4 linked regions of the Lytechinus pictus genome follow. The protein of the gene in region 1 purifies or fractionates together with the protein of each later gene. This does not show direct contact. Links are inferred from orthologs where the notes say so. Each region holds a gene or a part of one and is shown on either strand. Other genes may lie near its edges.

Region 1 (8,336 bases):
TTGACGTTGGTCATGTGACCTGAAATTCGCACAGGATGTTCAGTAATACTTGATTACTCTTATGTCCAAGTTTTATGAACTAGACCAATAAACTTTCAAAGTTATGATGGTAATTCAACAGATACCCCCAATTTGGCCAAAGTTCATTGACCCTAAATGACCTTTGACTTTGGTCATGTGACGTGAAACTCAAGCAGGATGTTCAGTAATACTTGATTAACCTTATGTCTAAGTTTCATGAACTAGGTCCATATCTTTTCTAAGTTATGATGACATTTCAAAAACTTAACCTTAGGTTAAGATTTTGATGTTGATTCCCCCAACATGGTCTAAGTTCATTGACCCTAAATGACCTTTGACCTTGGTCATGTGACCTGAAACTACGGCAGGATGTTCAGTAATACTTGATTAACCTTATGGCCAAGTTTCATGAACTAGGTCCATACACTTTCTAAGTTATGCTGTCATTTAAAAAACTTCGGTTAAGATTTGGTGTTGACGCCGCAGCCGCCGTCGGAAAAGCAGCGCCTATAGTCTCACTCTGCTTCGCAGGTGAGACAAAAATAAGTACTCACATGTCTTGAGATGAAACATGACAAAGGTCCAATTTCTGTGAAAAGGCCAACCTAGGAAAAATTAAGATATACATGTATTAAAGGAAAATTCAAAGTAAAATTTATTTCTATACTTCTATCTTTAGTCAGGTTAAACAAACAAGCACATGGAAAAAAAACAAGCACATGGAAGAATGGGGTTTAAATCAGCAAGACTTGAGAAAATGTAAAAACTTGATTCATATCACTAATATTATAGCAGTACCAGAATTTACATGTATCTATAAATTCTACCACTTCAATGAAATGACTTTACTAGTATCACAAATACATACCCATATTGCAAGTACATGAATTCATAAGTAATCAGATATGGTAGTAAAGTTATTACAGGAAACGGCAATGTGGACAAATATTACCTTCATATCATTAGCTTTCACCCACAAGTTAAAATTTAAACTATATCACCCAGTTGAGACTGATTATCAGTTGTTTCCAAGGTGACCAACTTACATCATCACCAACATCACAAATCACCAACACTGGTTGTTGGTCATGGTCACTTGATATGTGACCTATCATCTTAACCTTGGTCAGTAGTAACCTCATTGTCCAAAATCAAATTCTCACCTTGTTGACCTGTGTGACTACAGCATCTACTACCTCTCCTTTGAATGGTCTGAATACTATTGCCTTGTATTTGACTGGGTAGAGAACAAAGCCCCTGCTTGGTTGTATCATCCCAGCACCAATGTTATCAATGGTCGTAACAGCAATGACGAAGCCATACCTAGATACATTAGAATAGAATGTCATCAGTAAGGTACATTCCTACAAAAACATACAAGTCCATAAATTAAGATTCAGAAACCATCTCAAATACTAGACATTTCAACAATGTTATCAATGGTCCTAAACAGCAATTATGAAGCCATACCTACATTAGAATAGAATATCATGCAACAGTGTGCTACATTCCTTCAAAAACATTGTTCATAACAGATATTTCTACTCATAGTCTGAGATCCTCTTCAATACTAAACGTTTATATATTCAGACAAGTGAAACTCTGCCTCAATAGGTTCTATTTTGGTGAGCTTTTAATTATTTTTTTAAATCTTTTGGTTTAGATCAACCATCAGAATGTATAAACCTATCCAAATTCACAAAACATACAAAAGCTTCCAATAACAAAATATTTCATGTGATTCAAACATGTAGGAAACATGATTAAATTCTGACAGGCTCTAGCCGAATATGTTTTTGACTGTTGTGTGATAATATAAGTCCTGATAATATAAGTCCCTAATAACCCAATAATCCGTGCACAAGGAACTACATACATAGGATTTGTATCGTGCACGTATCCACCTTCCTAGGTGCTCAAGGCGCTCCTATATTACGCTAGTCTACAGATTCCGGTGCACACAGCTTTTTGAAGAATTACTTCCTGCCGATACCCATTTACCTCACCTGGTTTGAGTGCTGCACAATGTGTAAATATTTGCATTCATACAATTGATTCCTATATTCCATCAAACTTTACAACCATATATAACTGATTGATAAAAGAAAAATATGTCATTGTCAATAAACGAATGATTCCCTAATAAAGTTATAAACTGATTTACTTTTCATCATACTTTTAAAGGGGGATCATTGCTGACACAAGTGCTATCCTGAAAGTGGCTTAGGCTTATTCATAAATTTCAAAATAGGAGGGTGTACTCACTTCCCAGTACAGGTCCCTTCTACTTCAGTGAACAACTTCTGTTTGACAGTGTTGAGTAGGCTCGGTCCAAAGTATCTTGGATGAAGGAGAATTTCATGTTCAAGTGATACCTGGAGAAAAAAAACAGAATCTTTCATGCTTTTAATTTGATAACAATTATGCCATTTTCAAAATGGGATGATCATGAGAAATTTTTAACTTTATTTTGATACCAAGTATTGATAATTTGATTTAGCAGCTTGAGACATATCGATTGCTGAGTGGAGGCATCTCAAAGCATTATCTTTCAGCTAAGATTCATGATATTTATTGGCCGATACAACTACAAGTATTTTTTAAATTCTAATTTTGCACTGCTCATGATATTGTCGCCCTCTATACGCTTCTTGTAGCTAGGCTACGATAACTAAGACGGCAAGATGGCGACAATAACAGTCTGTGAGTAAACGCTCCTCTACTTTTAATTCATTCATTATGTGTAATATTAGTTAAAAATATAACTATTTTGGGCCAACAGGATTAAAATTATATTGGAGCCCATGCAGTATACAGCACACACTTTAAAAAATCATTAAGATATCACTTTGTGCCCCAAAATACTAATTTTTGTACAGTTGCAATATATTTTTCATTAGTAACTTGGGAATAATTTTTGTATTCACCAGAGCGCTCAAAAACTTGAATTTTGGGCATATTTTTGTGTATAACATGCCCTTCTATTAGTGGAAAGTAATATGGCAAGAAAATTTTCATTTTTAATCTCTATTTTTAATTAAGAAAAAATATTCAAAGAATCAAATTTACTTAAGAGCCAAGTTATATGATGAATAGCTGTAATGGAAACTGATACTGATAGTGTAAAAAAAATCAAGCATTTGTCCCAAAGAAAAAGAGAAAATAAGCCAAACATTGCCAACCTTATATTGTGCCACTCCATGTGTGGCACAATAAGGTTGGCAATGTTTGATGGAGATGTTACAGAGAACAAGGTTATGGCTTGTGTTCAATTTGAATTTGGCCATGCGAGTACGACTCCGAGTGCTGCATGCGCCATGGCCCGTGCCACCCATGGGTTCAATTCATCTCGCGTGCGAAGGATTCATATGCACCTGGTGCACGCGAATCTTTCACACCCTTTTTGCTCAAATAACTATGACATACCATTATAGCTAAGATTTCTAATTGTGCTATGACACTTACCGAACCATATGATCGTTTGTTGAATTCTCTTTGCTGTTTTTTTAATTAAAAAAAAGCATTTTTGCTTGATCTTCATGTAGATGCCTCCTGATCAGCATGGATATCAATTTTTGCCTAAAGAGGGCATGCGATATTATTCTTATGCCGGTTTGTACCGTTTGTCTGCAGCTTGTACTGCTAGCTGCATTCTAGGCGCTCAGCATTATTTTCTTGCTCGTTCAATCCACTTTCATCATCATCTGTCAAAAGATGGCGCACTTTACCTATAAGTATATACATGAAATTATATCAGCATGTTCGTCCTTGAGTAACACGTATCGCGGGTTCGCCTCCTCTCTCCCATTATGTAACGTGGATATTTGAAGTTGAAAAAATATCGGTAACTACGAAAATGTCGAGCGGTCATCGAGGGAAACAAGGCGGGAAACGCCCTCGACCATCTACCGGCTCTAGTCCCGAAGGACCTGCTCTCTTGCCTGCCATTAAGAATATGTTAGCAGAGGAGATAGGAAAGGTACTAGAAAGAATTCAAGTTTTGGAACTTAACTTTGGAGCCAAAATAAAGAAATTTGAAGAAAAACTTAACGATGTTGTGAATTCGGTCACTTTTAATGGACAGAATATTTCAGAACTTCAGCAGAAAATAGAGGAGGATAAGGAAATAGTCAACCAGGAAATTGACAGTCTCAAGACATACATTAATTGAGAAAATTTACTTTTTCACGGAATAGTAGAAGGTAATCAACAGGAAGATGTGGAGAACCTTTTACGGGACTTTTTTGTGGAGCATCTTAGATTTGATAGAGCGATTGCAGATAGGATTGAATTTCAAAGAGCCCATCGGATCAACTCTGCCAGAAGACCGCGCCCCATCATTGCAAGATTTTTAAGATATAAAGATCGCGCTGCTGTGTTTCTAAGGGCGAAGAATTTGAAAGGTTCACGCATGTTTATTACAGAGGATCTCCCACTGCGAATAAGAGAACGTCAAAGAGCTCAATTGCCAGCCTTAAAGGCAGCCCGGTCTTCAGGTAAGATGGCTTATTTCTCCCGAAGCGAACCTTGGAAATTGTATATCGATCGAGTTTACGTGCCACGGGAGAGACAACAAGTGTTCATTCGGCAACTTCCTACAGAGACACATCCCGGTAACCCAGGAATACGTCTTCAGGTAGCTACTGGTGCAGAGCCCAATCTCCCTGAATAAGCAACTGGCGCTATGAGAATACAAGGAGAAAAGCTTGGATAAGTATCAGTTATGTTTACATTCGCTTACACTAAGCATTTAATTTTCTAGACTACGGAGTTAAAGAGGTTTTCACAAAGTGAGACCCTTCTAAACACCATTTAAACTGTTAAACTGTGATAAGAATTTAGTTTGATGAATATTTCACAACAAAATGCGAGTCAACTAAAACCAAAATTGTATATTATTTCTGAAAGATGCAATGAGGATGATTGAAGAATATTCCTATTCAAACAAAAAGGAAGAGAAATGCAGGACAAAGAAGACAGGAAAATATAACAGCAATAACTAAAGCGTGGTGTGAGAAAAGATATTGCGTACTCTTATCTTATCTTATCTTATTTTTGACGCAAGGAAGGAAAGGAGACGCAATGTTCAAAAGTGGAAAGCTAGAGAGCTGATATTTTTTTTTTATTATCAAAGATATTATGCAACGAGAAGAAACTAGAATGAAGAAACTAGAAGACGTTCATGGAATAATCACCCTTTATTTTGTGTAAAAGTAACATAGACCTGTATACATATATTTTTTTTTCTTTCTTTAAATAAATATTTATTAGAGCCTAAAGTGGCTCTGATTGCTTGTGCAGGCTATTCTTAGGCCTTCTTATATGTACCAAGTAAATATTTAAAAATATAGGCCTACTAAAGAAAGCCTCTTCTATTGTTTTTTTTTTCTTTCACCATTTCTCTTTTATATTTGTGGGAATAAGTAATAACAAAACTTTAAGTTCAAACCAAGAGAAAGGGAGGAAAAAGGAAATGGCATTTTAAGTTGCAGTTTTTTTTTTTTTTTAACTGCAGTGAATTAAAGTGCTGTGGAGCTACTTTGTAAAATAAGTATGGATTTCCTTTGCAAAATAACTATGGATTTGAAGAGATACTTTTTTTATCCATTATAAATAAGTGGATATGCGTATACATTGTATGTATTTACAATATGCATTTTTATTTTATGATCTCTTTCTATCTCTCTCTCTCCCTCTCTATACGCTCTCGGGGACTGCCTCTAATAATGACAGGAATGCTAGTTAAATGTTGTAGGTCTGATGCCAATATCTATAGCTACATGTATCTGGTTATGTCAATCTCTTCGCTTTGTATAGCGGATAGGAGGAGTAACTGTCTGAAAAAAAGGAAGACAAAAAAGGTAAATCTTCCTTCAAAAGTTATGATGTTAATTGGATAAAAAAAAAAAAAATAGCGCATTCCGATCGTACATTGGTATCGTCATTATTGTAAGCGAGAGGCGGAGGGAGAGAGAGGGACTGGCAAAAAAGATGTTAAATAACATTCTTTAAAATTCTTTAATTTTTTACATATTTTTGAGAGAGTTAATGCACTAATCTTTGGTGTGTTGAAACAATAAGGTACAAAAATATTACCTAACTTGCAATTAATTAATTTTGAGCTTGAATTTGCAAGGTAGGAAGGGGTTTCTTGGCTCATTCACTATACCACTTTTAGCCCAAAAAAGGGGGAAAAAGTAATGCAATGCACAGTCTAATTTAAATGCATAACCTTAAATCGGTTTATAAAAGAATAAATATTGCTAATGAAGGTAGACAGGATGAATAGCTCTGTGTGCATTTGCAATTTTGTATTGATAATTCATTCGTCTGTATGACCCTGAGTTGAAAGCAAGATCCTTTTGCTGGTGATTATGCATTAAGTCTTTTTTCTATCGCCCATCCCATGAATTTTTGAATGATAATAGTCACATGGAATGACACTTCCAACAATTAGAGTCTTTGAAATTTCTTTAGGGGTTATTGATCTACATATTCAATGAAACAAAATAATGAAGGAGTGGAAGGATTTTGCTTCAGGCAGGTATAGCTTTAATTGGCAGAGTACATTATTAGGATATCTGTGTTACAATGGCTCTAAACAAATTAGCATAGGCAATTTGAATAGCTCCATTAATGTTATTGAAAGTAACCAGCTATTCGAGTGACAAGAAATTTGCTCTCATTTGTTTCTGATTGTTCTGATTAGAACGGCGCTATTTTACATGGGATCTCAAGTACTTTGAAGAGTTTTGTCATTTATTCTGATGAACTGGGGGACAGAGCGATTTTGAATGACGTTTATTGTGTGGGGTAAATGTTTGTTCCATGCATGCATTCATAATGTAATGGGTCTAGTGGGTGGAACATGTATGACTACATCACAGAACGAGTCTGAAAGATTCCCGTATACATTCTTAAGGATAATCATGACTTTGTTGTTGGTATTGTCATTTGATTTGAATTGATTGAAAGGTGTTTTTTTTTTCTTTCATTCATTGTATCACTTATCATGCTTATTATAAATAGAGGACACATGGTAGTAGCTCTTCTCATACCAAATCTCATTCATATTGGTTTACAGAAGAATAACAAATATGCCAATGCAGGTATACAAGTCCTGCTGTATATGTTTATTGGAACGATGTTATTGTTATTGGGAATTTTTGTGTATCCGGAAGAGTTTTTGCCATTTGCTTTTCAATTAGGATGTAGAAGAATAGGAATAGTTTGGACAGGTTGGAACATAGTATCAACTGTATCCTTTATCGGTGCAGTCAGATAATACCTTTTACAATAAGAACCCTCTTGGATGTCCTGTATTCATTTTGACTGGTATCTTTAAGTATGCTATACGTTTCAAGTGAGTTATATCCTATTATGTAGGTTTATTTGGGTTCACTCTTACATGTGTTCACTCCAAATGTTATGAAGGTCTAAACGTTTTAAGTCTAGCTTTGATATGGGACAAGGGCTAAAACACAGAATCAGGTTATTCTTTCGGACTCTTTTATTATTATTATTTTTTTTTTCTCAGCGTTATATAGGTAGATATTTTCTGTAGACAAGGGAGATAATGTTAATATGGACAGCATACAAATGGCTGCTCTATAACGGGGGGGGGGGGGGGGGGGGGGGGGGGGGGGCGGAACTGCGGGTCTATAGGATATATGTCAATCATGCTGGTGTGCGTGTGTTGGGGTGTTTGTGAGAGTGTCTTGGGGTGTTTGTGCGTGCAAAGGATAGTCTATGGGCGTGTGTTTGAGTATGTTTGCAGAAGTGTATGTGTTATGTTTGTTGGGATGAAGTGGAGTGATACGTTGAGTGGTATGTTTTCCAGTTCTGGTGTGGATGTGAATGAGTGGGGTGCTATGTGTGTAATTGGAAGTTTCTGTGTCTGTCTGTACTTGTATTATTTTCAACTTTACTTAAAAGCTCTTATTTCTGAAGTAGGGAATGCACCATTTCGTGTCCTATCACTGTGGCAACTCTTCACCAATGAGGGGTAATTTAAAAATACTCACAGTCAATGTAAGAGGGCTAAGAGATAAAGTAAAAAGAAAGAAAATTTTTCAATGGTGCAAAAGGTCAGGAAATGTAGTATTTTTACAGGAAACATTTAGCACACAAGATATTGAAAATAGTTGGAAGGCTGATTGGGAAGGGGAGATGTATTTTAGTCACGGGAGTAATCACAGTAGGGGAACTATTCTCATGTTTAAATCGAATGTTGATTTTGTGATAGAAAAAGTTTTAATAGACAAAGGCGGAAGATATATTATAATAAAAGGTAAATGTCAAAGTGAAAAGTTGAT
Region 2 (8,041 bases), on another chromosome or scaffold:
TTTGTAATGTCTGACAAGAGGATAGAGGATATTTCGTCCGCGAAAAAATGTGACAAGCCCCCCCCAAAAAAAAAAAGGGGTCTTCACCCCAAATTATGGATTTCTTAGCTGAAAAAAAAATTGACAAGCAAAAAAAAAAAAAAAGATCTTCACGTTCAAAAAAGGGGACATACGTCTTTTTCATTGCATTTTTACATTACAAATTATTAATTTGGCTTCTCAAAGGGGGCACGTCCCCTGAATCAGTTGTGACTCGTCAGAGGGACAGTCCCCCCCCCCTTGGTACACTAGTGGTTCCATGCTGATACAGCGTAGATCAGAGTCTAGATATAGAGACTAGACTAGAACTAAGATAATTTTTTTTTAGATCTAGGACTGGTTTTGTATACGGACTAGACATGGCAAATAAGCTAATATTTGTCTAAACCTAATTAAACGTGAAGTTCGGAATTAACCAGTTCGAAGTTAACCATGGCATTAGTCGGCTATTCAGTGTTGTAGTCAAGGCTCAAACCTCCAAGGCCAAGGCTTTAATACCCAAGGCCAAGGCTTCAATACCAAAGGCCAAGGCCAAGGCATGGAAACCCAAGGCCAAGGCCTGAAAACCTCAAGGCCAAGGCATTTCAAACTTACGATATACAGAACAATGAACTAACAATACTTAGGCGGCAGACATCACACATGGTAAAATGTATGTGAGCGAGGGGACTGAGCGAGAAAAAAAATTAACCTTTGTACATTTAAAACAAAAATAATTTTATGATAGAGACATATTAAAATAATGATATAGTTACCTGTGTACACATAATCCATAAGTTTTCTATAGGCGATTTACATTGCAATAATTATTAATACCACGGTCATCTGATCCTGGCATTCTCAACGTATGTTTTTATCCACTCCCTGGGACAGGGGCAGCAGAAAATTATTATGGGGGGGGGGGGGTCAACGTAAAAAGGCACCCATTTATCAAAATGAGTTTTTTTTTGCAAACAGATACATGTATTTTCAAAATGAGATTATGAACTGCGTGAAGTAATTGTGTGTTTTATAGAAATTAAGTTGAGCAAAGGCTTTCTAAAGTGATTTTTAATTATAAGATAGATATTTTGCTTTAGGTTTTACTTCTCAGCGAGAAAGCATAGCGAGCAAGCGGTTTTGAAAAAAAAATCAATTCTGATGTTGTAAAACTTGATTTATGGTCAATTATGGGGCTAATCATTGTTGAAATTTCCTTGCGCGAATCACCAGCTCAAACTTCTTGACATGTCGTGTAATAAGACATGGAAATTATTTTATTCTGAGCTGGTTTTGTAATCATGAAAAAGATGTGTATCTAACTAAAAAAATAACTTTGCGCTCGCTAATTCTTTTTATATACTGACCAGTAAAGGAAGCAGTTAATTAAGCAGTTAATTACTGCATTTTAAATAAGATACATAACTCACCAATAAAAAATAATGCGAGCGCAAAGCGCGAGCTCAAAAATTTGTTGTATTCCAACCTGAAAACTGGACATTCTAAGCATTTTTTTGTGAACGGGAAGAGAACGAGTACAATAATTGATGCGAGTGCAGGAAACGAGCCAAATATTTGTGATATTTCAACCATAAAGCAACATTCTGTACATTTTTGTAACCATTAGCAGTACTGTACTAAACAATAATTGATGCAAGCACGATTCAAAATCTGTGATTTTCGAACCTAAAATGTATTATGTTTTATTATTAAAGAAGGTATTTCTTTTTTAAAAAGGGCATATTTCATTTGGAAAAACAAATCCTACAGGAATTTTTTTTTTTGGGGGGGGGGGGGCAAGAGAGCACAAAGCGCAAGCTAAAATTTTCAAATGCTTAAACTGAAAATGAGTCATTTTTAGGACTCTTGTCAGTTTTCATATTTTTTTCTGCTTACAACCACTTTTATTAAACAGTTAATTAATCATTAATTATTAATACTTATTGATAATATTAATAATTATTAATTATTAAATAATTTTTTGTTAATTATTATTTCTTGAAACAAAAACAAATACGTTGTTTATTTCCTTGAAACTGTAGAGAAATGAGATTCAATGTTGAACGATATATGATTAAAAAGAAGTAAACACTTTTCCCCTTTGTTTTGTCAATCTGACCCAAAACAAATATAAAATTTAGAAGAGAGATAGAGAGAAGAAGAAGTCCCACCACCAAGAATAAACTTAGACAAGGGGGTAAAGGGAAAGGAAAAGATGGAGTAAATGTGATATTATTTTTTAAACAATCTATTGCAAAATTAGCTTTTCTTATAGAAAGAGGGGGACAAATTTTGTTCACTCGCTCGCTTCAATCGCTTTCTTCTTTTTTTTTGACAGAAATTTTGCTCTATATATGCCATGCTTGGCCCCTCAAAGTTTCTGGCTCATCATGCCATTGACATAACCCATTTGGATATGACAAAATTGGAGACTGTGTTCAAGTTTACCAAATCTTTTCAGAATATCATTAAGACTTAAAACATTCTTGTTGGCCAAAGAAAATAATACAAGGAAAATCCTAATGGAATAGAAATCAACCATGTTATCGTTCTTTAGAGTTAGCTATGTTTAAAGTATGAAAATTGTTGTCAAAATTGCAGTCAGATGTAAAAATTATTCTTGTCATCAAAGCACTATTATCTTGATCATGACCATTATCATTTACTGTCATTATCATCATATGATTACAACACATTACCAATACATAATGCTTTTTTTCATACTAGTAACTGATGTATTCTTTGTTTGAATTTCTTGATAATGGTGACAATTACAATTGATGACACTGCTAGTACACTTACTACTGCTGCTGCTACTGTTACTGGTGATTGGTAGTATTGACCATTAGTGTTATTAAATATATATAAAAAAAAACAATTGAAACATTTATAATTACTTATTTAAAACAAATGAAAGTACAAAATACAAATTGCCTTGAAAAAGCCTTGAAAATGCTTTGAAAATGCCTTAAAATTTCAAGGCTCAAAATCCTCAAGACCAAGGCCCTCTCAAGGCCAAGGCTTTGAAAAAGTAGCTAGGCATTAAGGCGCCTTAAGGCCAAGGCCGAGCATCAAGGCACTACAACACCGATTAGTACTAGGCATTAATTAGACAGGTCCAGATTTGAGGTAAAGTTAATGCGCTAGCCTAAGCTAGCCCTACCCTAGCACATGTATTGCCATTAATGGCAGCTAGTTTATTAAGTGTTTAAGAATTAGATATATATATATATATATATATATCTATATATATATATATATATATATGTATATATATATATATCTAAGCCTATAAGACCTATGTAACTATGTAAGGGTACCGGTAATTTGACGATGCTAATTCATTCTGAGCAACGTGAATGCTTACGATCGGCACTGGTCGTGGACGCGCATGCGTACTCTCAATCCAAAGACGCAAGTCATGAATATTCATATGTCGGTCCAGAACTCGGTGGGAAAAATAATTTCGCCGCCGGCCCATTCGATGACACCCAGAGATTGACGTCATTTATTTTCTGAATGAAACAAAAAAATGGGTATATGGTCCCAAAGGATAGGTCATCATGATACTGCAATCTCTATATCTCATTTTCCTGTGAGCTTCATGTTTATTCCACAAATCCCTTCTGGGATCCATTTTATTTTTCACATTGTTCTTTTTAATTATTTAAAAGATCATAGGGATGGTTGTTCTTTTCTTTCTGTAGATTATCCCATGATTATTTTCATGAATTTTTTTTTTTTTTATACTTTGAATACATGACAATCCCCTCCCCTTCCCCCATTTTACTGGATAACAATCTTGGTTCTTGTAGCACAAATCTTAGACTGAAAATTTCGCTGTTTCAGAGGAGTTTTTCAACATTTTCTGATTTTTGTCAGTCCTCCTCCTACTATTATGGAGGGAGGGGAATCAGGGGATGACGCGAAGCCAGACGAAGTCTCAGCGGAGCACATCCTGTATGACCGAAGTATATTTTTTTGGTTCCTTGTTGTAGTTCCTCTCTCTTAGCTGATCCCTCCACTATTTGGAGATTCCTAGGGTCCAAGGAAACAGATTTGTTCATGTACACTGTCATTCTGGCTTAGGAGATTTGAACCATATCAGAACGGAATACGTCAATTCTGTGGAGGAAAAAGAGAGATTAAAAAGTAGACTATTGTGTACTTCATTGGGCAAACAAGAGTGAAATGGTATAAGGGTAGCCTGAGTAAAGACCTGTGGGTTGACATTGACATAGATTGACGCATGTTGGGAAGTCCACAAGGCAGTTCTTGACTTTGCCAATAAACACTTGACGGAGATGGTCTAGGTTAGGACACTGCCCAGTAAAATGTTCCACAGTCTCGTCGGCAGATTTGCATAGAGGGCAAGTGCGACTGGTTGATTTCTTCAGCATGAAAATACGACACTGTGTTAAGTAGGTGGATGTGAGGAGTTGAGCTCTCACCACAATGCTCTTCTTTAGACGGGAGAGGGTACACTTTTCGGGTACAGGAGTTTAGCAGAAGGAGGTATACAATCTTGCCAGTACTTAAGAGATGGCTTGGAAAGGATTCCTTGACATGTGTTGTGTTTGGTCAGCAGGTTCACTCTGTAATTGACCAATCTCTTCCAAGATGAGTATACGGGAGGATTCGAAACTAGGCTGTGAAGATCAGGAAGATCGTACTTCTTTGCTATCTCCTGCAACAGCTGTATCGTAGGAGAGCATAAGTTGAGGGCTTCTGGGAATGTTCTAAACTCGAAGCGGCTGTGATCGAGGTTGACGAGTTGACCGTTGACTATCTAGACCGTGGTACATGAATACTTCGGGTTGTACCCCCTCTACTGTCTTGAACAACACAGTTTTTATATTATTAAAGATGTCAGCGCCCATGTGAAAATGTGCGCTCTTGCACTGGTGATATGTTCCGGCGAATAGAAGAACTTTGCTGTCGTATTTTACAAAGTTAGATGCCCTTATTATCTGGTATATTCGAAGATGTCAGCACTATCGGGGAAAACAACACATGTCGGAAAATCGGATGAGAAAAGGTATATCTGCTTCCATGCACTGTCAAACACTTTGGTTTTTAATGTGTGTCCCCACTTATTGATTTTTGTGTTATATGTGGTCGCCAAATCAAAATCAGCAGTTCTCGTTTACTTTTGCGCTTCTAACGTTCTATTTAAAGGTCAAGTCCACCCCAGAAAATGTTTGATTTGAATCGATAGAGAAAAATCAACGTTAATTCCACATGTTCATGGAGGAATTAATCGTTGTTTCACTTGATCTTGTTGTTGTTGTTGTTGATCTTGACAATGAGGAGAAAATCCCTAGAACATTTCATATTTTATATTATATATGTAAAATACAAAAGAAATAGTGAGTGGATGACGTCATCATCAGTCTCATCATTTGCATACTGAGCAGGATGTGCATATAACTGTTTTGTGAAATTAAGTGAAACTTAAAAATATAACTTTCTTAGTTACCCGATTTTGATGAAATTTTCAGTGTTACTGTTATGCTTGTTTGATTTTTCTCCTTTTATTCAAATCAGATTTTTGTTGGGGTGGACTTGTCCTTTAAGAAGCTCCTCCAAATTTGATGGCGACATGTTCACCATGAATTAAAAGATGGAGCTAACATGGCTAATGCAGTTTCGCACCGGTCATTGGGACAAATTTCCCCATCAGAGATTGTTTGCAAATCATCATTCATGAATCATGGACATGGCAAGTCTTGTTAACATTCGCTGACTAACATTTCGAGGTGAATGCCCACCGCTTTTCCGAATATCGCGATTGGGAACGGCTGTATTTTGCCTCGATCTCAACGCTATTGTTTGAGTTCTCAAGCTCAGACATCGCTTCACTTGACTTCGCTGTAATTTTGATATGGACTGAAGTTTAGCGACTAAAAGATTTGCCGCATTTATGGCGAAGCCAAGCCAAGCGATGTCTTACTGAGAATTTGAACGATCAAGGATGTCGAGATCGAAGCCATTCCTGGTCACAATATTCAGAAAAGTAGCGGGCATATTGATTGAGGGACTTGCTGTGACATTCACAAACAATTACTGCTGGGCATCATAACCTTGTTCATTGAATGAGTGCTGCTTGGAAAATATGCTTTGGCTGGTGCGAAACTGCATTAGTGCCAAAAGATTGGCATAGTCATGGATAAAACTCCATCTATCTCTCTCTTTTATATCTGTGATTCTGTCAACTTGTATCCTACTCCGTTTTATGGTCGGAGATCGCTGACAACCATACTGCAGGCCCCTATGCTAATGAACAAATAATATTTATTATTTATAGTCCTCTTGTGGCTGAATTCACTTCCCTACAAAATCTTGTGAATTGTGAGACTTTCCCTCTCAGAGAATTTTAACACTTCATCTACAAGTTAAATTGAATATTATTGCACCATAGGAAAGAATAAATGTTACTCTTTGGTCATTTATTTTGAATTAAATATTTTGATAAATAAGTGAATTTCAAGCCTGAAAACATGTCTTGAAATGGAATTTGAAGAGATTACCGCATGGTGAATGTGACCTTAGAGAGGCCCCAGCATGGAAACCGTTGGAATTTGGGTAGGTGCGTGGTCTCTTACTAATCATAGTGCAGTATTCTAGTTTTCAAACTGTAAAACTTGGATCTTGACCCATTTAAACACCCCTTCTAGGCCAATATCATTAAAGCTGAGATCCTCAGCTTTAACATAATCTCAACATTTTGACACAAACAGAAATATAATGTAAAAACAAAGACTTGTTGGATGAAAATGCTTATTTTGTAGCATGTTTTAGATCAAAAGTTTCACCTATATAACAAATTCTTTTTAAAAATTCAGACACAGGACCTGAAAGAAGAATGTCTCCATAATTGATACCAAAAACATGAAATTTGATCAATATTTGGAGCAGCACTGGCCGAATGAAAAGTGGTGTTTTGGTCTGCACACAGGTCATTGAATATGCAAAACCTTTCTACTCATAAATATATCAAAAGATTAAAGAATAAATGAAGCTACGGTACTTTTTGAGGACCTGCCGACTGACTATCAGATGAAATAACCGCAGACAAAATCAGACCTCGAAAGTTTGCTTAGAAGATTTTGGGAACTGTTGGGGGACTTTAACTTGCACATTTTGGAGGAATTTTTATGTAATTGATCTTAATAAAAAAAAAATGTTGCTCCTCCTACAAAACTTATGGAGTTACATGTAGGCCTACGTGTACCACAGTCAGGTGGTCCGAGATCATCAGCAATATGCTGCAGGACCAAAAGAGTATACGGTATTACAATTACACAGCAGTCAGAGGCATGCCAGAGGGGTTTTGGGAGTTAAAATTGGTGCACTGCACAAGTGGATTGGAATGATGGGCGAATGATGTAGCGAAGGGCAATCAGAGGTCTCACAGGCCTAATTCATTCCCCATAGACTCGTGTGTTAAATTGGCACTTTAAAAAATTCATAAAAAATAAGGATGAAATTCGGGGGTCAAATGTTTACTACCAGTGGATAGGATATATATCTGGCAATCCATATCTGACCAGAAAAGGGTCCCTCGACCGGCTCATTTTAAAAATAAATTGGCGTGTTTGAAGACACCGTCGGGGGGAGCAGATTCATCACCTCAAACAGCAAAAAAGCCCTAATCCTTCCGCCAGTCAAAATATAGTCCAAAATTTGTGATATTTCTTCCCAATTTGGGAAAAGGAAGTTCAGTAATTACCAAAAAAAGAATCAGTGTTAGATGGACAATCATATGCATACAATTTGTCAATCAGCCATATCAAAATTAAAAAAATAGCAATGGGTTGGCTCGAATGAATATCTCTTGCTTTCCCAATGTTAATAGGCCCGTGTAGCCCAGAGTGGTTGTAGAGGATGCAGAGTGGGAGAGAGTTGGATCATGATTGCTTCACTTTAGTTTTGATGTGAAATTATGGAGTACTTTTTTATATCAACAGCATATACACTAGACCGTTAAAAATATTCTTGTCTGGATGAAAATGCTTTTTAT
Region 3 (7,810 bases), on another chromosome or scaffold:
GAATTATTATCTTTCAGAATTCTACACTAAGCATTTATTTTCCAACAAAACATGTTTTATTGTTCTATCACACTTCTCTGCTTTTTTTTCAGGTTCATAATACATGAAAACAGAAAGGTTGATAATTTAGTCCAGAAGTGTACAGATAGGGGGTACTTGCCCCCACCCCACCTCCTCCCCGATAATTTTCACAACCAGAAAAAAAAGAGAGAAGAGTAAAATATAATGATATTTCCTGAATTTTATGTCAAAATTTTTGGTCGCTCGCTAGCAACTGTTTAATAAATCTTGCCCAATACGCCATATATCTAGCCCCTCACATTTTTTACTGATTACGCCGCTCTTATAATTAAATATCTATTCATTGTCTGTATCTCAGGCCCGAATCTCCGTAATTTTAAACATCCTGAATTCCCAGTCAATCACGGAGCAAACCACTGATAATCTGTATACTATAGTATAGTAGTCAGATCAGTGTACTATCAATCGAAGTAGAGGGCGTTAACACTTTTTAGTTATATACTATAATAATGAACTAAATTCCGATATTACAAAAATCATTTGAATGGGATCTACTTTATTCACACTTCTGCTTTCATTTTGATGCGAAGCTATATACATGTAATTGTAATACTCTGGACAAAAATTGTCAGTTTGTTCAAGCACAAATAGATATTAAGATGTGTGTGTAATTTGATTGATTTACACCATCTAATCAACATTAAAATATTTTTTATATATTTTGAAATGTATATGAATTTGATAGATTTATTTTCTAAAAGTGTGCAATGTTTATAATGCACTGTTAGGAACAATATTGACATTTCAATGAAAATCCTTTTTTTATGAATATTATTTTCAGATCCTATTTTGTGATAAAAACATGTATGTGGATTACATGAATTCTACAAATTTTCAGAAATATTTGTTAAACTTAATTAATAAAAAAAATTATCTCATATCATTGAGGGTTGTATGAAAGAAAATAAATCTATTCTTAATAAACCTTAAGAAACCTGTGGAATTTATGATTACAGGACATGTATTCTGACCTTTCGATGCAAAATACAACTGAAAGTACATGTAAAATGTGACAGGTCACTGTCGTTTCTTCAGCACTAGGAATTAATCGCTTTATGGGTCCAAGAAATTACACACCTTCGGACCTTAATTCCCTTTCCTCAAAACTCAATACATTTCTTAGAATTGGCGTATAGAAATATTGGATCGCGCTGCAAGATGGATGAAATTAGTTTAATTTTCGCGAGCTGAAGGGTTTTTTTTAGAGAGAGATTTGATTTAATCCAAAAGCCTGATCATCATAAGCATGTAAGCACTTTGTTATCATGAACAGGATATGCGTGCCTTCATGCCAGCGAGCTGAAGGTTTTGATTATATTACCTGAAAAGGTAGTATTTTAAGGACTGTTTATAATGATTTCCAAAAGAGACCATTATGTATCTCATTAATGAAAGGGGTATCCCACCCGCGGGCTGAAAATAATTTTATCTAAATAACTATAGTAAATTTCATAAAGCAAAATACTGAAAAATTCTTCAAAATCTGATAACAATCAGAAAGTTATTGATTTTTTTAATTTTAAAATTAAACTCTAGGCCTACATTTTGTGAAAAACAGTTATGCACGTCGATGATAATGTCATGTCCCCACTTTCCTTTTTCTTATTTTCAAAGCCACATGCAGAAATTTCGAGGGGGGCAGGATGTACGTACGCGTAAAAAAAATAAGAAACTCAAAAGTGAGGGAGCGAAGCGACCAAGCTTGTCATTGAGGTGCATTTGCATTTTTAAAAGTGAAATTGAAGGATTTTATGCACACTTTTGGGGAATTTTGTGAAAAATTTTAGTGAAAAAAATGCAAGTTTTCAAAATTTCGAGGGTGGGGGGGTGGGGGGGTGGGCGCAATACCAATTCGGGGTCATTATTTTTTTAACAAAGTGGCGCGCCCTCCCCCCCCCCCACCAGTTGTGTACGGCTGTGATCATGTTTACATGCAATCACAATAATTATTTCAGATTTTCATGCATTGTGTGTATGTCTCCCAGAATGTAAAATAAGTTGTAGCGATGAATATAATGCATAGTCATAGTTACCGTATCCCTCTAAATATCTCGAAGCGCAAGCAAAAACATGTCTTACATGTATTACAACAAAATGATATCATAGGCATCATTTATTTTTCTTGGAAATAGAAGGTAATGCGAACACAAAGCGCAAGCTTATAGTGAAATCAAAATTTGTTTATTAAACCAATTCATTTTAGTTCCCCAATCACTTTATTAGATTTTCTTCTTATTTTTTTTTATTTTTCTTTCTCCTTTCTTTCTTGGTCTTCTCTTAAATTCCTACTTTTTGCGCACTGCCATGTAGGGGGCGGGTCACCTCCATGGTCATCCCCTGGAAAGTTTTCGAAGCAATTTAGAGATCATGATCAGGATGCGTATCGCGCTAATACAAAATACTGCAAACTCGAATCGCGAACAGAATAATCTGTGCATATCGACTTGAAAATGGTAACTCTTAAACCTCATGTTATCCGGGGGTATAGATGTACGGGGGTATAGATGTCCGGGGGTAGATGTCCGGGGGTAGATGCCCGGGGGTAGATGCATGTCCGGGGGTAGATGTCCGGGGGGTAAATGTCCGAGGGGTAGATATCCGGGGGCAGATGTCCGGGGGTAGATGTCCCATGCAGGGGTACTTGTTCTATATAGGGGTGGATGTCATATATAGAGGGTGGATATCCGAGGGGTGGATGTCCAGGGGGTAGATGTTCTAGAATCCATTATCATAAAAAAACTTATATCCAATCACAGGAAATGGGCAAATCACGTGCCGTGGCGGACTTGCCCCTGGGACGGATCGCCCCGCTCTCCCCTAATGTAATTGCTGTAAAAGTGCTTCAGGGTGTAAGTCTAAGAAAATTAGCTTGTGCTTCGCGTCATTATCATTTTAGTGAGATCGTGATCATGAATACTTACACAGCCTTGAGTCGATCTTTTAGGCCCTATACCTACATATTATATACAGGCATACTGACTACTGTACCCCAACAAATTCCAGGCCCGCGCTTCGCTCCGCGTTGTAGATCAGCGAGTGAGATAAGCGGACTCATGCAGTGGCGTACCGTAGGTCACGGCATAGGGGGGGGGGCACCTACAAACATTTTGAGTCACTTAATTAGTGAGGGCGCGAAGCGCGCTCAATTGCCAGCCTTCCAGGCCTTCAGTACAGAATTAAGGCTGCACATTCAGACCCTAACTCGAGTGAAGGGTTTGCCCAGCAGACTAGGGGGCACGTGCCCCCCCCCCCGTAGTTACACCACTGCGCGGACCTTCACTAGAACAGTACAGTCATGCTTGTAATAAAAGCTTATTGGCTATATAAGCCTATAGGTCTATGAAAAATATTATAGCTCGATTGCATCAAAATAATATTTAGGCCTAATACAACAGGAATATACCCCCAAAAATCTGATAAGGCAATCTGCAGTCTTCCGGGCTATATTTATTGGTAAATCACTGAATTCTCTATCCTTAGAACATATTTTCCAAATTAAAGGTCAAGTCCACCTCAGAAAAATGTTGATTTAAATCAATAGAGAAGATCAGACAAGCATAATGCTGAAAATTTCATCAAAATCGAATGTAAACTAATTAAGAAAGTAATGATATTTTAAAGATTCGCTTATTTTTCACAAAACAGTGATTTGCACAATTCAGTGGCATCCGAAGGAGACAGTTGATGATGTCCTTCACTCACTATTTCTTTTGTTTTTCGTTGTTTGAATTATACAATATTTCATTTTTACATATTTGACAATAAGGACCCATTACTTGACTGAACCATATAGTATTAATAGGTAATGCTAAATTCGACAGGATCAGGGAGGAATTAATTGTTGTTCACTTGCATGACAATGAGGAGAAAATTAGAATATTTCATATTTCATCATAAATACAAAAGAAATAGTGAGTGGATGAAGTTATCAGTCTCATCATTTGCATACCGACCACGGTGTGCATATAATTGTTTTGTGAAATTAAGCAAGAGGTCATAACTTTCTTAATTTACAACCGAATTCGATGAAATTATGCTTGAATTTTTCTCTTTTAATTCGAATCATCTTTTGTTGGGTGGACTTTTCCTTTAAGTATTTTGGTTTCAAAATGATTAAAAATACGCTTCCGTCATCCGCAAGTAAAGTTTAAATAGGGTTTTTGAAAACTCACTTTAAAGTAAGGGTATCTACCCGAGGGTATACTTCATTTTATTCGGATTGTATTACTCGAGTTACAAGAAATCTTCCCCAATTATTATGACAAAATTGCCCCATTTCACCGCGGTCTCCCTATAAATAAATCGCTCTCATTTCTTTAAAACAACCCAACGGATTGTCAACGAATGGGCATTGTTGTTCATGCTTGACTGTGTTCGTTTGTATTTTTATAACTTGGGATTTTTTCATAATTTTACATTTTGTTTCTCCTGTGAAATTCAGTGTGTGGCGCCTAAATGTGACGTCATATCGCAAGTTCCTGCCGCGATTTCCCATAAATCACCGCGCTGATATGTGAAAGAAATATCCGCGATGTCTGGATACTGCCTTTCGAGCAGGAATACGGCACTAGGGCTCCGTTTGGCTGCTTAGAAATGGTCTAATGCCGCCAACCCCGAGTCAGATAAAGGAGCTGCTGCTCAGTGCAATCGACAAAGATGAAAATGTAAGCATTCACTTTTCTTATTTTTATGAGGATTCCTCACATTTTGACTTAATTCGACAGTCTTTCATCCACTGATGATTGCAATGATATTCCGCCATAGCCAGCCGCGTGCTAAAGACGATCATTTTTTTGGAATAAATGTCGCAGATTTCGGCGAGAATTCGTCGCAAGTATTGCCTGTCAAAAGACGTCGCCATATTCAGATTGAAGCTTGACTTCTGTAGACAAAACTGGTATATATTCCAAGTCGACTTACGGCAGATTTTAGGTCGAATTTAGCGTCAATTTGAATGTTGTCACGATTTTTTAGAACGGCGAAGGTCCATGTACACGGTAAGCTCGCCTGCCGCAGAATGAATTGTTGACCCATTCGGGGCCTATGAGAGGTCTCGCCGAGCGCATGCGCAAGGCTAATGGGATCCCACGTCGGTGAATCCACTCAATAGAATTTTTCATAATGCAGCAGGAGAGTCAAACAACGCTGCTCGGGCGCCCAGCCACAGCGGCTTGATCAGTCGGAAATGAACCGCAGGTTTGGCAGTGTGGCACTCCGCTCCTTCGCTCTTTCAGCTGGTGTGTATTTGAACACATGAACATGTATATATGTATGGTCATGCCCATTGCATGACTGGAAGTGGTATCACATTCATGCCTGCAGTCTGGCTTTGCCTTTCCTTTGCCATTGGCTTGGCTTTTGCCATCAATTAGTCAAGACTAACTTTATGACTATGTTCTATCAATATTTTATTAAAAAGATAACTTTTTTACAAGTAAATTTACCTTTGCTTTGAAAGTTTTTGGGAAGAAAGGAGAGAGTGTGAAGAGATTCCAAGACCAAGTTAAATACAAGTCAATGATTATTTATAATAGGGTCTATAAGACTCTAGAACTCTACTGAGTTGTTTCAGATCTAGACAAATAAAAATGTCAATCTAAATATAGTCTAGAGATCAGCTTGCTAGAGATCGTGTACATTTATTTTGATGTTAGTGGATGGTGGAAGTGGAACACTGTTCTACTTCTAAACTAAAGTCTTCAAAGGGTTCCTCCTTTGTGGGTCTAAAGAGATAAATCGTAACGTCTGCTGCCTTCTACATGTACCTAGAAAGGATTCGTGCCAATTTGATGAATACTAGATCTGATTATATACATGTATGTTGGCCATTTCATGAAATATTCCAGAATCCAGTTACTGCAAGAAAGTGTGGAAGATATATTCCTGGCCATAAGTTAAAAAAAAGAGAGAATCAAAGAAAGAGCTCATGCAATTGTTTTTTAATGCCTAGAAACTGCCCTAGTAAACTGGTCAAATAGATGCTCAGATAGGATTCATAGGAATTTGACACTTTTTTTAAATTCTAGGATTTTTCTTAGATTTAGTTCAAACAACATTATCTGGAGGTGATTCATTTATTTCAGCCTCGGGGGTTTTATTAGAAATATGGAATGAAAACAGAGAGGGATAGAAGGACAATGCAAGTAGTAATGCACAACGAGTATAACATTAACAAAATCACGATAAAATATACAAGTAAAGCATGAGATGGATAAAGAAGGCAAATTTTGTAAGATCAAAGGTAAAGCATATGTCGGATAAAACAACTATATTTTGTGATCAAAATGAAATCATTCACACCCCAAATATGAGATTGATAAAACTTAATTGCATATTGCAGTTTGGATTTGTCCCAAAATTGTTGCATTTCCAGATTTACCACTCATCCTAAATCAACCAGTTTTATAGTGTGGATTCAGACACCCTTATTTCTACTTTTATATCAGTTTCATCAAAACATAGATTTTGATGAGAGATGCAAAACTAGACTTACAAAGTTTAAAGGGGAAGTCTACCCCAACAAAGTGCTGATACAGGGGGGGGGGGGGATAAACAAAATTGATTACCGGTAACACTGCTGAACATTTCTTCAAAACCAGATGTGAATTTTCATTACTATTTATTTAGAATTTCTATAGAAAAAATATTGCTTTGATAATGAATCAAGAAGCAGGGCTTGACATTGACTTTAAATTTTGGTAGCCAACTGGCGGATCAAAAAATGATTTGGTGGACTCAAACACACAATTTAAGTGTGGTCCACAAAATGAAATGAAATTTAGCTTACAGATGGTATTTTTATTGCTTTTCCTCATGCATCAGCCCAATACCTACACATGTATGTTGATGAAAGGGAAGATCGTTTTACACACAAGAAAAAAGTCTCCTAGATGCATCACTGGTGTGTTTGGAAGTTGTGTCATACTGTCATTTATATTTTCAAGAGTAAGCTCTAGATATTTCTTGAAGGTACCTGTATATCAAATCAATTGTATGTTGCTAGAACTTACATGTAAGGTGGTTGTTCATACATGTAATTTGATTTTTGTTCATTTTCATTGTCTCGCCTGCATAGCATAGTGAGATTGTAGGCGCCGCTTCTCTGTCGACGGCTGCGTTATCAACATTGAATTTTTAAACAAGGTTAATTTTTTGAAATCTCATGAAATTTATTGTTTTATAAAACTTGGACATGAGGGTAATCAAGTATCACTGATCATTTTGCGTGTGTTTCAGGTCGCATTTATAACCAAGGTCATTTAGGATCAATGAACTTTGACTATGTTTGGGCCTTTGTAGTATCAACATTGAAATCTTAACCAAGGTTGAGATTTTGAAATGCCATTATACATGTAACTTCAAAAGTATATTATTAGATTGAGAGATTTGTGGTAACATCATGTAGGTTAGTCTTGAAAAGGATTGTTGGTTTGTCTTTCTAATAATATAGCTCTGAAATTTTTTTTATTTTCAATGTTTCAAGCACATAGGCTTTGCTCTTCATCAGAGCAAGCTTAGTCACATAAACACAGAAAATGTTGGTGGGTTGAATTGATTCAACAAACATCCACCCGCCCCCCCCCCGACATTTTTAGGGTTAAAAGTATATTATGGACTTGTGTCATGGGGACATAAGGGTAGTTAAGTATTACTGATTGTTTTGAATGCAATGACACAAATTTCATGGCAATATAGGGGCAAGTTGCCCATATGGATTGTGATTGTAGGT
Region 4 (7,768 bases), on another chromosome or scaffold:
AAAATTAATATAACTTTCATAATTAATAGCTTTCTGTTAAAGTTTATAATTCGTATCCAATTGTTTCGTTTTTAATATGAATTATAAGTATTTTCATTTGTTTCAGGGGCGGATCCAGGATTTTTTTTAAAGGGTTTCAACCAAAAATAATTAAGGGGATCTGGTCTTCACTTTCTAAGGGGGGGCACGCTTCTGTTTTAACACCATTTTTAAATTACAAATTTTACTTGTGCCTCTCAATGGTGGGGGGGGGCGCGCAGGCCGGCTGTGCCCCCCCCCCCCCCCCGGATCCGCCAGTGATTTTTATTGTTCTTTCATTTGTTCACCCATGATCACGAATGTTTTCATAATGCATACATGTACCTCACGATTTTTTTTTAAATACGATTCTAAATGTTATGAAAATAGTTCGACAGGCCTAATTCTTTTTGCATACCACACTCATGGAGCTACTGTTGCTACTCTGCATCAGCGTGTAGTGTGCGAGAGGGGGGGGGGGGTAGGATGGTCGCAAAGAGCGATCGAGCAAAAGAGAAAGTGGTCCATAAATGAAGAGGGGATGTTGAGAATTGAGATCATGTGTGTGTGTTGGGGGGGGATGTTCGAAGCGAATGTTGTCACTGCTGATTACGATGATGGTTGATTAATCTTTACATCTTAATTTTGGCGATTTTGGAAATGTTTTCTTGTACCATGGGTGGGGAGAGGTGAGTGATTCAGTAAGTTTCCATAGAAGTGCAGTTTTAAAGTTACAGAAGAGGATTTCACCCAATGACGCTGACGGGAATTCGGGAAACACCATTTTCAAGCAATACTACACGATCACGTGCCATCGGCTTTAGGGCCGAGTGTTCTCGTTCACATTCCAACTATCATTTCATAAATAGGCACTCTTACAAATTAGGCCGATGCCGTTGTAAAGATAACTATTTTTGAAGCGTTATTCAGATATAAAATATATAAAGACAATTGAAATTGAACAATTCATCGAAATTTCCAACGATATTCAAATACAAATAGTATCAACTCGTGTAGATCTATAGGGGTGAACAGACGAAATACATGCTCCTAAACGTTCAGACAAATCAATTAACTTGATATATATATCTTTCGATGAATTGTTCAATTCCATCAGAAATATGCTTCTTGAAGTCAGATTGTTGAATGTGAACTTCTATTGGAATCTGTTGAATCACGTACCCCTCCCGATCCAAGGTAAAGATTTCCCAATCACCATAGATAACATACGGTTACATATACGGTATCTTATTTACATTGTTAGGTACTGACGATATCTTCATAAATACATTCACAATTATTTCATGAAATGTCACCATTGCCGTGGCTGTGACATTTAAAGCCTGAAATCTATTACATAAGATATTGTTTGCACTTTGATATAATAGAGGTCAGATATATTCTTGTCATCTAATATAAACATTCCATTATTATGCACCATGTTTCAAAATGGGTAAGAAAATTACATTACCATCGGCATCCAGATAATTAGTCCATGATTAGACCAGCGAGATCGGAGTCTACCCCTTTTTTTTGGAATTTCTATTTTCTCAGCACATCGAAGTGAGGAAAAACCACCAAAAACCCTATATTGGTATTAAATGATAACCATTTATTGTAAACAACGTTTAGGACTGAGGGAATTGGGCAGAGGGTATGGGGAGGGAGAGTATTTCATTTTCCAATAAAATGCAAAAGTATAATATTTTCGTGAACATGAACGAAATAAACAAAAAGTTAATAGCTCAATATCTTTATTGAATTGTTCAGTAGAACAATAATACTAGCTCTAATATTGTTAAAAACATTTCAGTCATTGTAATTACATGTGTTTCATCAATCTCAATATATTGACAATGAAAATAATTTTTTGATATAGAAAATATATTTTATATGACTATTGTGAATTTTAAATAATCCCATTTTAGATCGTTGATTAAACCACCTTTCTGAAAACAATCACTTTGATATCTCCTGTAAAATCAATTTTAGATAAAAAAATATTTTCTGTTAAAATTGATTTCTAAGATTCCTGTCTGAAAGTTGATGAAACACCTTAGCACGAGTAAAAATGCATAATACAAAGATATTGAATACTCAAACTCTTATAATGATATTGTCCAGCAAAACAGAAAATTGTCAAATAGTTAATGAAAAATAATTGAATTATAAACCAACAATTAAGTCAAATAGAATATGAAAATTATAACACACAATCACGTCACATTCGTTCTCACTCTCGTAGCTGTAGGATGGGGGGGGGGTCGGGCGTCCGGACACTATATTTTTGAAGCCTTCTTTTTTGTCTTTGCATTACACTAAAAGTATGAATTCAATGGTTGTAATCATCTTGTTCTCCATAATATTTCCTAATATCTTGTATTAAAAATTGATGAAACTTCGCTTGTAAAATTTTCCAAATGACTTTCTAAAATTGATCGTCCGGACACACAACCTGTCCATACAACTGGGTAGACTCATGCTAGTCTAGAAGCACTCCCACACTCCAGACAAAGTGTCACAAGTACATGAATTCTCGTAAGCACACAGAAAATACAACTTATAATATGCTCTAATAAAATGTACTGCCTTTCAGGGTTCAAACATCCTACAAATACACTCTTTTAGAACATCAAATGATTCTATTAAAAAACAAAGTTAATTTACAGGACATTAATATACATGTATGAAGTCTGCGCCAAGCATCTAATCATAAGGCAGTCTACCAGGAAATTCATCTATCGCGGGGGCAACGCAGAATTCAGTACAGACAAGTATACATGTACATTATAAATACGCTGTGCACTGTACTCTATGCAAATACAATTTATGCAAGCGGCCTTCGGCCTTGCGTAACCCGATGAAAACCACATGTTTTGCTTAGACTTCGGACACTGCCTGCCGAAGTGCCGATATCATCCGAACATGCGCCCGAAATCTACACGCTGGCATCTTTACAAGACAGAGTGTTGTGCTCCGTGAGTCAGCCGATCGCGCGGTGTAAAGATTCTCACACACAGCGCTGGGCGAGGAAGGGAAGAGGGTCGCGCAATCAGCCAATCAGCGTGCAGGGAATCCGTCTACTGTGTGCCTATGGGGAAAGTTCTATGTGCCCCCCCCCCCCCACCAAAAGTAAGATTGTTGAGACTTCCGGTTCGATCACCTCAGATTTTTCTATCATTTTTTTACTGTTTGCTTACCTACTCCTAGCCGTCCTAGGCTTAGCCTTAGTCTTAGACTAGTTGGGACTCCAACGAACTCACCTCGTTTGATTTTATCTGCAGTCAAGACCTCTTCCCGTTATGCTAGCGAGAAGCGCTGATACCGGAAGGGGTATTTTAACGATTATCTGCCGAAGGATTGTTGAGACTATATTACTTTTTTTTAATATTAGCATTAGTGCGCGACAGAAAAGGATGCCTGCCATTCCTATTACCGGCGCATGCGATTCTTCTACACACATGCCCTGCGATAAAATCACAGTTCCGTGACGTACTAACTCAATTGCACTGGAATTAAATCCCCGTGCGCGGAAGCGCTAGTCTTTTGACACGGCAGAAAAGAAAAACGGACGAATACACTTCTTCAATTAGACTCTAATTTCAATTTGATTAACATTACTAATATAAATAGCAGCCTAGATTGGGGCCCTAGATTGAATAGAGTCTTGGGCAACAGAAAAATCAATCTGAATCACTTACAAGATCAGGATTATAGTTAAAGGCATAGGATGATAGGTAAATGTCAAAACACGAAGCCGAAGGTGCAGCTGCTGTAGAACTAGCTAGAGGGCAGCATGCACTCAAGCGCGCGAACGATCTACACTGAGACGAGTCTGAGATGCAGATGAGAGCTGAAATGTTGACTTGATTTCAATATTTTGATTTAAGTGACAGAGGAAAATTTTCACAATGGATCTCTTGCCGGAAACAGCATCGTCATCAGACATTAATTCTGCCGAGTATTGGGAATCCTTTGTCAAGAAAAACAGTAATAAGAGCAAGGCATTCGAGTGGTGAGTCAGCTGACTCTGTCTCTGAATAACCCGGCCCAGGCCAGGGAGCTCCAGGCCGCAAAGCGCTTTGCGACCCGGAGCTCCATAGGCCATGGCCTGGCCCTGGGTTAACTGTGCATGTGTGAAGGGGGGGGGGGGGGGGTGGGGTGCGAAATTATTTTTCCCGCCGAGTTCTGGACCAACATATGAATATTCATGACTTGCGTCTTCAGTTTGAGAGTACGCATGCGCGTGGACTTGGCCTCGACCAGTGCCGATCGTAAGCATTCACGTTGCTCAGAATGAATTAGCATCGTCAAATTACCGGTACCCTTACATAGGTCTTATAGGCTTAGATCTATATATATATCCAATTCTTAAACACTTAATAAACTAGCTGCCATTAATGGCAAGACATGTGCTAGGGTAGGGCTAGCTTTAGACCAAAAGCTTCGGTCTCTGTTATGTTGGTTGTTCAGCTGAACTCCGTTGGCTTCACTCACCAAATACAGAGACCGAAGTTCTAGCGCGATCTGTACAGGGGACTCAATGGCCATATGTTTATGTACTTAAGATCGGATAAAACGGGGAAGTGAATTTGCGCGACAGCCGAGGTAAGTCACTGTTTTTGTTCCTTTTAACTTGATTTTTCTCCGTTTTTTGGCAATTGATGCCAAGAGGGAATATTAATTTGCATTTTGGTCGCGTGAATTTTCAAATTTTTTACTCATTAAAGACAAAAATTGAAGAGCCCCGACGGGGGGATTTTGCATTGCAAGTCCCCTAATGGTGGCTGCACGCTAGCGAGCCGTCTGTGTATGAGGAGAAAAAAAAAAAAAAAAAAATGTTAAAAAATTCCTCGAAACAGACGGCTGCCAGCTGTCTAGGCTAGCTTAGGCTAGCGCATTAACTTTACCTCAAATCTGGACCTGTCTAATTAATGCCTAGTACTAATCAGTGTTGTAGTGCCTTGATGCTCGGCCTTGGCCTTAAGGCGCCTTAATGCCTAGCTACTTATTCAAAGCCTTGGCCTTGAGAGGGCCTTGGCCTTGAGGATTTTGAGCCTTGAAATTTTAAGGCATTTTCAAGGCATTTTGTATTTTGTACTTTCATTTGTTATAAATAAGTAATTATAAATGTTTCAATTGTTTTTTTTTTATATATATTTAATAACACTAATGGTCAATACTACCAATCACCAGTAACAGTAGCAGCAGCAGTAGTAAGTGTACTAGCAGTGTCATCAATTGTAATTGTCACCATTATCAAGAAATTCAAACAAAGAATACATCAGTTATGAAAAATAGCATTATGTATTGGTAATGTGTTGTAATCATATGATGATAGTGACAGTAAATAATAATGGTCATGATCAAGATAATAGTGCTTTGATGACAAGAATAATTTTTACATCTGACTGCAATTTTGACAACAATTTTCATACTTTAAACATAGCTAACTCTTAAGAATGATAACAAGGTTGATTTCTATTCCATTAGGATTTTCCTTGTATTATTTTCTTTGGCCAACAAGAATGTTTTAAGTCTTAATGATATTCTGAAAAGATTTGGTAAACTTGAACACAGTCTCCAATTTTGTCATATCCAAATGGGTTATGTCAATGGCATGATGAGCCAGAAACTTTTAGGGGCCAAGCATGGCATATATAGAGCAAAATTTCTGTCAAAAAAAAGAAGAAAGCGATTGAAGCGAGCGAGTGAACAAAATTTGTCCCCCTCTTTCTATAAGAAAAGCTAATTTTGCAATAGATTTTTTTTTAAATAATATCACATTTACTCCATCTTTTCCTTTCCCTTCCCCCCCCCCCCCTTGTCTAAGTTTATTCTTGGTGGTGGGACTTCTTCTTCTCTCTATCTCTCTTCTAAATTTTATATTTGTTTTGGGTCAGATTGACAAAACAAAGGGGAAAAAATGTTTACTTCTTTTTAATCATATATCGTTCAACATTGAATATCATTTCTCTACAGTTTCAAGGAAATAAACAACGTATTTGTTTTTGTGTCAATATGGTTTCAAGAAATAATAATTAACAAAAAATAATTTAATAATTAATAATTATTAATATTATCAATAAGTATTAATAATTAATGATTAATTAACTGTTTAATAAAAGTGGTTGTAAGCAGAAAAAAATATGAAAACTGACAAGAGTCCTAAAAATGACTCATTTTCAGTTTAAGCATTTGAAAATTTTAGCTTGCACTTTGTGCTCTCTTGCCCCCCCCCCAAAAAAAAAATCCCTGTAGGATTTTTTTTTTCCAAATGAAATATGCCCTTTTAAAAAAAGAAATACCTTCTTTAATAATAAAACATAATACATTTTAGGTTCGAAAATCACAGATTTTGTATCGTGCTTGCATCAATTATTGTTTAGTACAGTAAAATGCTAATGGTTACAAAAATGTATAGAATGTTGCTTTATGGTTGAAATATCACAAATATTTGGCTCGCTTCCTGCACTCGCATCAATTATTGTACTCGTTCTCTTCCCGTTCACAAAAAAATGCTTAGAATGTCCAGTTTTCAGGTTGGAATATCACAAATGTTTGAGCTCGCGCTTTGCGCTCGCATTATTTTTTATTGGTGAGTTATGTACCTTATTTAAAATGCAGTAATTAACTGCTTAATTAACTGCTTCCTTTACTGGTCAGTATATAAAAAGAATTAGCGAGCGCAAAGTTATTTTTTAGTTAGATACACATCTTTTTCATGATTTCAAAACCAGCTCAGAATAAAATAATTTCCATGTCTTATTACACGACATGTCAAGAAGTTTGAGCTGGTGATTCGCGCTCGCAACATCGCGCAAGGAAATTTCAACAATGATTAGCCCCATAATTGACCATAAATCAAGTTTTACAACATCAGAATTGATTTTTTTTTTCAAAACCGCTTGCTCGCTATGCTTTCTCGCTGAGAAGTAAAACCTAAAGCAAAATATCTATCTTATAATTAAAAATCACTTTAGAAAGCCTTTGCTCAACTTAATTTCTATAAAACACACAATTACTCCACGCAGTTCATAATCTCATTTTGAAAATACATGTATCTGTTTGCACAAAAAAACTAATTTTGATAAACGGGTGCCTTTTTGGCGTTGACCCCCCCCCCCCCATAATAATTTTCTGCTGCCCCTGTCCCAGGGAGTGGAGAAAAACATACGTTGAGAATGCCAGGATCAGATGACCGTGGTAATAATAATTATTGCAATGTAAATCGCCTATAAAAAAATTATGGATTATGTGTACACAGGTAACTATATCATTATTTTAATATGTCTCTATCATGAAATTATATTTGTTTTAAATGTACAAAGGTTAATTTTTTTTCTCGCTCAGTCCCCTCGCTCACATATATTTTACCATGTGTGATGTCTGCCACCCGAGTATTGTTAGTTCATTGTTCTGTATATCGTAAGTTTGAAATGCCTTGGCCTTGAGGTTTTCAGGCCTTGGCCTTGGGTTTCCATGCCTTGGCCTTTGGTATTGAAGCCTTGGCCTTGGAGGTTTGAGCCTTGACTACAACACTGAATAGCCGACTAATGCCATGGTTAACTTCGAACTGGTTAATTTCGAACTTCACGTTTAATTAGGTTTAGACAAATATTAGCTTATTTGCCATGGTTTAATATGTCTAGTCCGTATACAAACCAGTCCTAGATCTAAAAAAATTTATCTTAGTTCTAGTCTAGTCTCTATATCTAGACTCTGATCTACGCTGTATCAGCATGGAACC

The links.
Region 2: the proteins of DNA-directed RNA polymerase II subunit RPB7 (region 1) and putative RNA polymerase II subunit B1 CTD phosphatase RPAP2 purify together in Homo sapiens (affinity purification with mass spectrometry; 5 studies listed by BioGRID and IntAct, counting the BioPlex papers as one, with this or other methods). This does not show direct contact. The link is inferred for Lytechinus pictus from reciprocal best matches to the Homo sapiens genes POLR2G and RPAP2.
Region 3: the proteins of DNA-directed RNA polymerase II subunit RPB7 (region 1) and mediator of RNA polymerase II transcription subunit 26-like purify together in Homo sapiens (affinity purification with mass spectrometry; 6 studies listed by BioGRID and IntAct, counting the BioPlex papers as one, with this or other methods). This does not show direct contact. The link is inferred for Lytechinus pictus from reciprocal best matches to the Homo sapiens genes POLR2G and MED26.
Region 4: the proteins of DNA-directed RNA polymerase II subunit RPB7 (region 1) and transcription initiation factor IIB-like purify together in Homo sapiens (affinity purification with mass spectrometry; 3 studies listed by BioGRID and IntAct, with this or other methods). This does not show direct contact. The link is inferred for Lytechinus pictus from reciprocal best matches to the Homo sapiens genes POLR2G and GTF2B.

Annotation. Positions count from the first base shown.
Region 1 is NC_087251.1:16,537,686-16,546,021, reverse strand, and holds the start of DNA-directed RNA polymerase II subunit RPB7, read right to left. Parts: upstream 3,207-8,336; 5' UTR 2,424-3,206; coding exon 2,287-2,423; intron 1,345-2,286; coding exon 1,185-1,344; intron 627-1,184; coding exon 576-626; intron 1-575. UniProt on the Homo sapiens protein: Core component of RNA polymerase II (Pol II), a DNA-dependent RNA polymerase which synthesizes mRNA precursors and many functional non-coding RNAs using the four ribonucleoside triphosphates as substrates.
Region 2 is NC_087259.1:3,805,763-3,813,803, forward strand, and holds the start of putative RNA polymerase II subunit B1 CTD phosphatase RPAP2, read left to right. Parts: upstream 1-4,863; 5' UTR 4,864-5,003; coding exon 5,004-5,056; intron 5,057-8,041.
Region 3 is NC_087255.1:33,529,933-33,537,742, reverse strand, and holds the start of mediator of RNA polymerase II transcription subunit 26-like, read left to right. Parts: upstream 1-4,487; 5' UTR 4,488-4,682; coding exon 4,683-4,745; intron 4,746-5,053; exon of another isoform or gene 5,054-5,318; intron 5,319-7,810. UniProt on the Homo sapiens protein: Component of the Mediator complex, a coactivator involved in the regulated transcription of nearly all RNA polymerase II-dependent genes.
Region 4 is NC_087259.1:26,430,861-26,438,628, reverse strand, and holds the start of transcription initiation factor IIB-like, read right to left. Parts: upstream 3,350-7,768; 5' UTR 3,282-3,349; intron 1-3,281. UniProt on the Homo sapiens protein: General transcription factor that plays a role in transcription initiation by RNA polymerase II (Pol II). Involved in the pre-initiation complex (PIC) formation and Pol II recruitment at promoter DNA.